Kluyveromyces lactis: one gene and its partners. The protein of the gene in region 1 interacts with the protein of each later gene in a pairwise test. Links are inferred from orthologs where the notes say so. Each region holds a gene or a part of one and is shown on either strand. Other genes may lie near its edges.

Evidence for each region.
Region 2: the proteins of ERV41 (region 1) and ERV29 interact in binary tests that used the Saccharomyces cerevisiae proteins (3 or more experiments, as listed by UniProt). The link is inferred for Kluyveromyces lactis from reciprocal best matches to the Saccharomyces cerevisiae genes ERV41 and ERV29.
Region 3: the proteins of ERV41 (region 1) and SEC26 interact in binary tests that used the Saccharomyces cerevisiae proteins (3 or more experiments, as listed by UniProt). The link is inferred for Kluyveromyces lactis from reciprocal best matches to the Saccharomyces cerevisiae genes ERV41 and SEC26.

Annotation. Positions count from the first base shown.
Region 1 is NC_006038.1:449,589-452,891, forward strand, and holds ERV41 (Erv41p), read right to left. Parts: upstream 1,810-3,303; coding exon 1,779-1,809; intron 1,658-1,778; coding exon 663-1,657; downstream 1-662. Other genes in the region: GMC2 (Gmc2p), read right to left, coding at 1-418; SMA2 (Sma2p), read right to left, coding at 2,107-3,243. UniProt on the Saccharomyces cerevisiae protein: Constituent of COPII-coated endoplasmic reticulum-derived transport vesicles. Required for efficient transport of a subset of secretory proteins to the Golgi. The C-terminal Ile-Leu motif is required for exit from the endoplasmic reticulum.
Region 2 is NC_006042.1:287,443-290,229, reverse strand, and holds ERV29 (protein ERV29), read left to right. Parts: upstream 1-1,369; coding exon 1,370-2,287; downstream 2,288-2,787. Other genes in the region: ZUO1 (zuotin), read left to right, coding at 1-716. UniProt on the Saccharomyces cerevisiae protein: Constituent of COPII-coated endoplasmic reticulum-derived transport vesicles. Required for efficient transport of a subset of secretory proteins to the Golgi. The C-terminal di-lysine motif is required for exit from the endoplasmic reticulum.
Region 3 is NC_006039.1:1,329,028-1,333,171, forward strand, and holds the start of SEC26 (coatomer subunit beta), read right to left. Parts: upstream 2,901-4,144; coding exon 1-2,900. Other genes in the region: KLLA0_C15301g (uncharacterized protein), read right to left, coding at 3,156-4,144. UniProt on the Saccharomyces cerevisiae protein: The coatomer is a cytosolic protein complex that binds to dilysine motifs and reversibly associates with Golgi non-clathrin-coated vesicles, which further mediate biosynthetic protein transport from the ER, via the Golgi up to the trans Golgi network.

The DNA of each region.
Region 1 (3,303 bases):
TTCTCGTGGCACCTCTATGTGAATCAATAGTAAATGCCGCCTCTTGCCACATGAAATGCTTCTTATATACCTCATCAAGTTCAGCTAAGATCTGTTCCATCTCCTTACTGTATTGATCCATTAATTCTGCAGAAACGTCGTACATCTGATCCCAATTTAATTGTGATATAGGACTCTTATCATTTTGATTCTTCACCAGACTCTTACTGATTTCCTTAACACTTTTCAAGAATTCATTCTGCAACACTTGCCTTTGAACCTCCTCTTTCTTCTTATCACTCTGCCATTCGGCGGCTAATTTGTGAAGGTCTAAAGGGAGAGCATTCGTGGAACAAGGGGATGCTGTTTTTGGATCAACATTTGAAGCTTTGTCGATATAGTTAGCAGTGTCTGAAAGGGATGATAAGTTGTTAGGCATTGGTCTCTTGATAATCGTTGTTTTATGAAATCAAGTCGAAGTCACATGAGTGAAGCACATAATTAAAAGTTACTGTTTTTCTATTTTGCATTTATCGACAGGTACGTAATTATAACCAAAGAGAGATTTGAACCAATTGAAAATGAACCACTTTAATATGCCTTCATACCATCTATTTATGCTACGTTATCCAACTGGTTTATAACAGTTGAAAGTTCTTTGGTAATCAGTCTTTTTAGATAAATTATTCATCTAAAAGCCCATGAGATGGACTTTGATCTTTTGAATAGTGAAGAGACCACTTAGGACCAAGAGCTAGGACTAGTGACTTGTCTACAAGTCTGAAAATCCAAGATGCCGTGTAAACGATGAATGACAGGATTGCAACGAGTCTGATAATAAACTGGAAGAATCCAATACGCATATCACTGATGATTATCTTCATGGGTTCGAATTGATACCTAATGAAGATACCAGGAACCCCGGTAGCTTTACTAGATTCTCCGTACTCTGTTTCACTCAAAGCATATTGATTGGTATCTACTTCGGCACCCATTTTTTTGTAAAGTGTTGGTACTATCGAGGTAAAGTAGTAATATGCTTTGATCTTCTCATCCGAAAATTTGGCGGTGTTATCTAAAGGATTGTCAATGTAAGGATAAAAGTCACCGAAGGAAAGTTCGTTTATTACATGATTGAAATTTATTTGGTCCTTTGGAATGGCAGAGGCAGACCGGTAACCCCAACCGTGAGCGGTGATATGTAATTCACCTTTCACTTTATTGACAGGAACTGAACCAAATATGTGACACCCATTAAAATCATCTCTTCCAGTTAACTCAGACGTATCAATAGCCTCCCTGAACTGGGCTGGGATCGCTTCGCCAAGTATTTCGTCGAGGTCCGGTGAAACAATATTGTTCATCTCATTTACTCTTGTGCCCACAGGGATGTAAAATGGCATTCCTTCCATTTGAATGTTCTCTGATATGAGTCCACGGTCGCCAGTAATATCTCTAGCATTAATTCTAATGTTTTTACATGCCATATTCACGTAGAGATCCAAGTTAATAGTAACGGTTTCCTTGATTTGGTCGTCCACGACATATTGCTGATCAATGTAACCTCCAAAAAAGCTACCAAATTCGGACCATGCGATGAATAAGAGAAACAAATATGTCAAAATGGAGCTAAGGCCACCCTTGGATGAAGTCTTCACATGCTGTTCATCGGTTTTAGCTGGTGATAAAGAAATGCAACGCATAGGTTTGGTATGCATGTTAGTATACTCATATAATTTGAGAAGGCCCTTTTTATTTCAAACATGGGGCCTCTATAAATAGGAGAAAAAAGAACTTACGGAACGCATCAAATGTCCTAAGACCTGCCATTGCTGAGAATAATTTTTGACCGTTGCCCGTTAGCTGGTACAGACACTGAATGTTTTTTATGCATCTTTAACATTCAATTCAGTTACTTAACTTAAATGTTCCACTATTAGATTTCACCATGAAATTTCGAAATTTCATATTGGATAGTGAAGTGGAAACTTTCCGATACTGAGAACACGCCGATCGTTTTGGGATTAAGTAGGAAGCTATGAGGGCGGTAGATTTGTAGGCGCTAAGGCCTATGAAAAGCTCTTGATATATGGACGGTTTATAAAAGACTATATTTAGTGTTCATATCTACACAGTGAGCAGGAATCCATCGACTGCAGTAGTCCCACTAGCAGGATTTAGCGCGCTGTAATTATCCTCAGTATCTTTTTCTTCTTCATCTTCTACGGCTGTTGATTGTGTTTCGCTCATTACTGATGCAGACATGGCTGAGTGTGGTGTCATCCATTTGAAACATAGCACCGCAAATATTAGCTCCACAAAGAACCTCGCGATGTGGAACCATGCACCCGTTCCGAGAGACGCGTGGATAATTTGTAGTCTTTTGTAACGGAAACAATTAATCATGAAGGTAAGCAGCAATATGTGAAGAATATAGATGAAAGTAATTGTTGCATTGCAAATACTCAGACACCGAGTTATTGAGCAGATTGAATTGATATTCCAATTCAATTGCTTGATTGGACTTTGTGTCTTTTTGTGTTCGATTTGCATCCACATCCAGAAAAGAAGAAGCATCAAACATAGAGATGCTAAGATGCAGTTAGCTACTACTGTCCATTTCAACACAACATTGACAGCATCATAAATGTTTATCAACCATAGTCTTGTTTTCCATTGTTCCATTTCGTTCGGATCATTTGGGGTGATCATTTTCAATAAAGTGTTTCCTCTTTTATCATCCTCTAAAAATTTATTGAAGGAATTGATTAACGTCTGGTATATGATCCAGAACGAATCACCAGTTATCTTTACATTAGTCTCCGATAAAACCCCGAATTGAAAGCCCAAATCACGAATTAGAACGGATATTATATTTAGCCCGTTTGTGTTATCTATACAGTAATGGTTTAGCTTCTCATCTTGGGCCTGATGTTTACAATAACCGAAGGCATTCACATAATACGTATTTGATGGATGAAATATGTTTATCAAATTTGATTGATTATATCTATCTTGCAACTCACTCAAATCTATTCCCCAGTTGAAATCCAATGTAAAAAACGATAATAGAGAAAAAAACTCCTTTACGGTGCTGAATAGCACCTTAGAGGTTGGAGTGTCGTCTTTGAAATGGAACACATATTGAGGCATGCATATTGGAAGATTTGCTGATGAGGTACACGTAAAATTGGATAAATGAGAAAACCACACTAATAATGAGAACGAAATTAAAATGATAAAAGAGATGTATTTGAATCTCATAGCGGCACCTCACGGAGGTAAACGATATGCTCCTAGAAATAAATAAGAAAGCACATATAG
Region 2 (2,787 bases), on another chromosome or scaffold:
CTCGTTTCTCCAAGAAGAAGGATGTACCAACTTTGGGTGATATGAACACTTCCAAGGAAGACGTTGAAAAGTTCTACTCTTTCTGGCACAGATTCGACTCTTGGAGAACATTCGAGTTCTTGGATGAAGAAGTTCCTGATGATTCTTCCAACAGAGATCACAAGCGTTACATCGAAAGAAAGAACAAGGCGGCCAGAGATAAGAAGAAGACTGCTGACAACGCTCGTTTGGTGAAATTAGTCGAAAGAGCCATGAACGAAGATCCACGTATCAAGCAATTCAAGGAAGAAGAAAAGAAGGAAAAGGAAAGAAAGAAATGGGAAAGGGAAGCCGGTGCTAGAGCCGAAGCTGAAGCCAAGGCCAAGGCTGAAGCTGAAGCTAAGGCTAAGGCTGAAGCGGACGCTGCTCAAGCCGCATCTGCCAAGGTTGACAAAAAGAAGGCCAAGGAAGCTGCTAAGGCTGCTAAGAAGAAGAATAAGAGAAGTATCCGTAACGCTCCAAAGGATGCTGATTACTTTGGTGATGCCGACAAATCCACTACCATCGAGGAACAAACTGGTTTGATTGTCGACTCTTTGGACGACGAACAATTGGTTGACGTTGCTGAAAAGATCAAGAGTGATACTGCTGCTGCTAAAAACATATTGTCTGATGCAGCAAAGGCTTTGACTGACGCTGGGAAATTACCGGCTGCTATTGTCTCTTACTACTTATAAATTTAAAGATGAGATCAGTTCAAAACCAGCCCAGAGGAAATATATAGCATATAACATAGTCTACTGACATTGGCTCTGCTATTTAACCCTTCGATTTATATATATATACCAGTAAAATCTGACAGCTACCTATTACTTCGGTTTCCAGGAAAGTCAGATAGTGGTATCGCTTATATAAATACCGACTTTAAGATGGTATAAAAGTAAAATCCGAATTGCAAGCAGAAATGAACAAATACTTCAAGCGCTTACTGGTTTATCGTAGCATCGGGCTTCATACATGGACTGATGTGGTAAACCTCAAATAGTATGAAAATTTTAGGTTATACTATATATATACGGTAGTTCAACGTCCAGTATTGATCAGTACTGAAAAATCAAAAACAATAACAGTGTGGGAGAAAAAAGGACCCAACCTAAAAGACAGATCAGTTTTTTTTTGCAGAGTACTGGAACCAAACGAGAACAGGTGTGAAAACATAGTGAAAGTTCAGTGGTAGTGGATATCTAAGGAATTGGAACCTATTTTGCGAGCTGCCATTACTTGTGTCGTTTTGGAAGTATAGCTCACCGTAATACCTGTGCATAGTATTTTCTGTTTGAGCGCAAAATTCTAATTGGTAATACTGAAGCGGAATACCATTGAACGAGCCATGTCTTTTAGAGGTAACAATTTGGATACGTTTCCAACAGCAAAGCCTGGGTTCCAAGGTGCATCGTATGGCCAAGCGTCACAATCTCACAATGTTTCAGCTAAGGACAAGTACAGGCGATTATTTGAACAATTCGCTAAAAGGGTTGAAGACTTAACGGAACATCCATTGGTCTTGAAAATTAGGCCTTACACCCCAATCATTGCTAGATTCTTTATTGTTGCCACATTTTATGAGGATTCGTTGAGAATCATTGCTCAATGGTCAGATCAAGTGTTTTATTTATGGAACTACAGACATTTTCCTTACTACTTTGTCGTTTTCTTCTTATTTTGCGTTGTGATCTCTATGTTTACAGGCGCCACGCTATTAATCTTGAGGAAACAAACCGTGTATGCCACCAGTGCATTGATTTGTACCGTCATTTTACAAGGTTTGGTTTACGGTCTGTTCACCGGATCATCTTTTGTCTTGAGAAACATTAGTGTCATTGGGGGTTTATTGATAGCATTTGGTGACAGTATTGTTACCAACAGGATGACCTTTGGTATGCTACCTGAATTAGACAGTAAGGATGGTAAATTCAAAAATTACTTGTTATTGGCTGGAAGAATTCTAATGGTTTTGCTCTTTATTACCTTTACTTTTACTAAGAGTTGGTTGACAGTTTTGTTGACGATTGCAGGTACTGTTTGTATCGCAATTGGTTACAAGACAAAGTTCGCATCTATAAGTTTAGGTTTGATTCTAGCGTTCTATAACATTACCGTCAACAACTATTGGTTCTATGGGTCTAGCAAAAGAGATTTCTTGAAATACGAATTCTATCAAAACTTAAGTATCATTGGAGGTTTATTGTTGATTGGCAACACTGGTGCTGGTCAATTGTCAATTGACGAGAAGAAAAAGATCTACTGATGTTAACATGCTTTTATTTCTTCAAAGCAAACTAAAATCCCAAAGAGTTCTTTTGCCCTCATCAAACTCCCATTTAGAATATGTGAACTTCAGTTCATTTTGTCCAGCCCTGAACGGTTGCATGATCATTTAAAAATAGAATATGTGTAATTACATACTTGTATTGGCTGGCGTCTATAAAAGCGGTATTCATTTCTCAGTTCATTTGATTATGCTGCAATTATGGAACAGGTTCTTCGTAGTGTTACTTTTATATATATTGAAAATTATACTTTGAGTTTCCAATATTAAAAATTGCCGGACGCCTTTTAATGATCAATTCCCCATATTAAATAATAACATTTTATTCGCCTGTACTGTATTGTCACGAGCTCATAAGATAAAAGATAATCAAATACTATATAGTTATTCTTTAGTACACATGCATGTACAAATTGACCCCGAAAAGACCACCACCTAGTGATAATATTAGTTTTATTCTGCTATAGCTTTAACTAACA
Region 3 (4,144 bases), on another chromosome or scaffold:
CTAACGATATTCATAGTTCTTCCCATTCTGGTAATATTGTCACCATTGGTTAAAGCTAACCCTTGGGTCTTTGAACGAATACGGATTTCACCAACAATTTCTTGTGTGATTGGATCCTTCTCTATGCACAGGTTAGCCAAAGCGTCCTCGCCAAATGTAGATCTAGAATATAAGTTACAACTTAGGAATCTGGAATCATTGTCGCCGAGTGCCTCTTCAGGGGTTAGAACCTTCATATGTGTAACTTCCACCAACTTCTCTAAATAACCGCGTAAAGATGGTAATTTGGATTTGATACGAAGTTTATTTTCCCATTCAAACGCATTCCACATCTTACGGAAACTGTTATCATCGCAGATTGCTGGTTTCACATAATCCATTGTGTCGATATGAACGTCATTCAAGATGACATAACGAGAATCTTGACCGTGACCACCATCATATATAATGTTACCGAAAATAACACCAGTATCTGCTGAGGACACCTTTGCTGTTATCGTAATTTTGTGGAACCCATGTGGAATAACGTTGGTGCTAGGTGGGTGGTCAATAATTTTTAAGTCACCAAGAGTAGCGAATTGAACATGTAGGTTTTTCAAAGTATCCTTGGTTTGGTTCACTAATAGAACATCTAACACAACATCGAATTGGTGATTAGTGATATAACACTCGGCATAAACAGGATCGCTGAAACCAGTCAATGGGACGATCTTCTTCAATTTTGAAGTGATAGAATTAGCTTGTAGTTTGGAATATGATACAGTACCGGTGGTAGCCAATTTTATATCTTCTTCGATTGAATCGACGGGGGTATTGTGCAAGCCTGCATTCTTAAATTGTCTGAAAACGATGGATTTATCGATGGCCTCGGCGTGCTTGGCTAGGTAGTTTGATCTCTTGGCAGCATTCTTCTTCAAAGTAACATTGACTCTTGATTTGTATGATTCGTTGGTAGCTTCCAAGAATGCCAAACTCAAAAGTTCTTTCTCTGCTTGACTTTCTTCGGTAGAAATCTCGTCCATCAATACCGAAATTGCCGTCATTAGTCTTTCAGCAGAGTCCTCGTCAATCTTCTTTTCTACTAAGTTACTTTGACCTAATCTGATGATACTAACCAAAATCAACAACCCTTCGGCCTTTAGGGCGTTAGTTACAGAAGTGTTCTTGGAAATCTTTTCGAATTTCAACACCAATTTAACGATAGAGTTAGCCAACACAGAGGCAGTAAAGAAATCTCCATTTAGGACGAAACGACGTAAAGGAGGTCTTGCTTCTTTTTCCTCGTTTGAGGTGGATTTGACCTTTTCTGAGACAGATAGAGCAGATTCGGTTGCATAAGTACCATCTGGCAAAACTACCGGCCCTGTGGATACTATTGGGGCCTTTTCAGTATCGTCTTCGTCATCATTTTGAACTCTTCTCAGTTCAGATTGAACAATTGGAACTTCACCTATACTTGAACGGATGTGCTTCCAGGTATTCTGGATTTCTGCTTCGGATTGGGCATGCTCACCTAGTACCCAAAGAGCACCACGGTAAGCCTTTGCTGACTTTACTTCATGCAATGTCTCAATCAAAGTAGTTAAAATCTCAGATCTTAACTCAGGATACCTTTCAATGACCTGTTTTGTAAAGGAAATGACATCATTGGCACTTTCAGACGACAAGTTACCGATAAAATCTAGAAGCAATGAGACAACATTGGAGGAGACTTCAATAAATCTTATTGCCACTTTGTTAATGGATTTGATCAATAATTGCCTGTACTCCAGAGTTTTATCGTTACTGCTATCAGCAGTAGATTGTAATTCTTTCCTCAATAACTTAACTACACTGTCTACGTTTCTGGACGTAATCAATTCTAAGGAGATATCCAAAGCCTTAGCACGGACATCCAAATCTTGTGCGTTCAAAACACGTAGAATATCCAATGTTAGATCCTCTAAAGAGCCTGGATTCTTCTCGTTTATTTCGTTGATTTTTTCTAAAACAACCAACTTGATGTTGTTATCAGATTCTTTTGTGGCCAAATCAATTAGCTTGTTAGCTACGGTCAATAAAATAGCTTCTTTATTGGTTAGAACAGTTAAAGTAATGGCAGCTTCGTACATGACATCCGTAGAACGAGTAGAAACTAAAAGATCTTGCAACAATTCAACATACTGAGAGACCAATCCTGGAGTTTTGATAGCATCCTTTCTAATGAAACTAATGAAGGCGTTTTGTAGCAAAGCATCCAAATTTTCAATCGAAGTTAGGTTGTCCTGTAGGTAGTTCAACGCAGCTTCACGGTCCAATTCTGCAAGACCTAGGAAAGCATTTCTCTTACAAATTGGATCAGTTTCTGCAACCAAAAAGGAATCAATCACTTCACAAGCATCAGGAATCAAATGGTCGCTGACTTTGTAAATGGAAAGAACTGCTAAGATTGCATACTTACGAACGTATGCGTGTCTGTATTCCAAACAAGCACGGACAGAAGGAACCATTTGCTCTAAAAGTTCTGCTTCTTTCAATTTCGTCAAGAATCTTAAGGTATTGCCCCTGATGTATTCGTTTGGATGTTGCAAATCATGTTGGATAGCGTTGCAGACAAGAATCATTTCTTGCTTCAATTTACCTTCACGATCTAATTTTGGAACAATTTCCCAGTAAAAGTATAAAAGCTTCTTCAATTGCTTGTTCTTTGAAGGCATCACAAATCTGATGATGTGCATCAACAAATCTGGTAATGGATTACCATCTAACATGGTCACCAAGATCCTCTTCATGGTCGCGATCTTTTCAGTATCAGACCCCTTTTCCAATGCCTTTTGGAAGTCTGATACGGTATATGTGACCCCATTTGGATTGGGGTCGTACACTAACGTATACGCAGGTTGTTCGACGCCGACTGTCATACCTCAATTGACCTGTGTGTCTTGTGTAGCTTCTTTTAACTTCCTGGTTCTCGCATATGTTATTTCATAACAGAACTGTTCCAAAACAGCATGTTCTTTATTTCAGAATCTCATTTTCGTCCTGAAAATCAACATAAAACAAAGTACGGGTAACAATGAATTTGACCGGGTATTAGAAACGTTAATATATACATTGGTACAAGATACGTATAGATCAAGATATAGATGCAGCAGTAATATTGTTTGAATGATAGTTTATTCTGAATCTGGGTTGGTTATATGCAATCCTGTTCCAGCGGTACCGCGGTAGTAACCGAAATCTGCTACGTCAAGCTCGTAATCATCGTCAGCATTCGAAATGCTAGATTTATGAGATTTGGGATTAGTGTCACCTTTTTCATGTACTGCAGGAGTACATGGCTTTTGAGATTCTTCAATCAGGTTATATTTCCGTAGATCTAGTGGTAGCTGTGGACTGTACGTTACGTCTAGAGTACCGCTTCTCATTCTACCAGCATTTCTCGTGAAATAGCTGGATACAGTATCTGATCTTTTCAAGCGCGTTTGGGAAACTTCGTCATGAATTCTTTGTTTTGGGTTCTCACGCAACGGTGCCATTAAATCATCGCTATCGTATGCCTCATCACCAGGAATATCATCAAGAATATCTTGGTCTGCCTCGGAAATTTTTTCATCCTTGTTGAACAAAGTATGAAATTCCTTAGTATGATCAACTTTTGTGGACTCGGTATTGAATTTGAGGCCTGTAGTACTGTTATTTTCCTCTTCTTCTTCCTCTTCTTTTGTAGTTTCAAGTGATAATAGCTTCTGTTTGGCCTTGCCGTGCTTTATACCGACTTGTCTAGTACTTGTTCGTATTGTAACTTTGATATTTTGTGGTTGTTCAAGAGTATTCTTGTTCTTCAAAGCATAAGGTAGATCTGGAGGCAACTGTAAGGAATTTGACGTGGGGAAGTACAAGAGCCGTAGCTCTTCTATGTAGCTTGAGATGAGTCGAACATTTTTATCTGGAATCGATCCCTTGGTCAAACTTTTCTTGAATTCTGATGACGGAGTCGTGTTGATGGTGTCGTTATCAATGGACTTTGCTTCCAGTGCTGAAGATTGACGAGATTCAGTATTACTTAATAACGAAGATGCTGCACCTTTTTTAGATGAAGATAAAGAACTGCGTCTTGCCAGCGATGCGGTTATGGAATTGGTATCTGTATTCATGTAAGAAT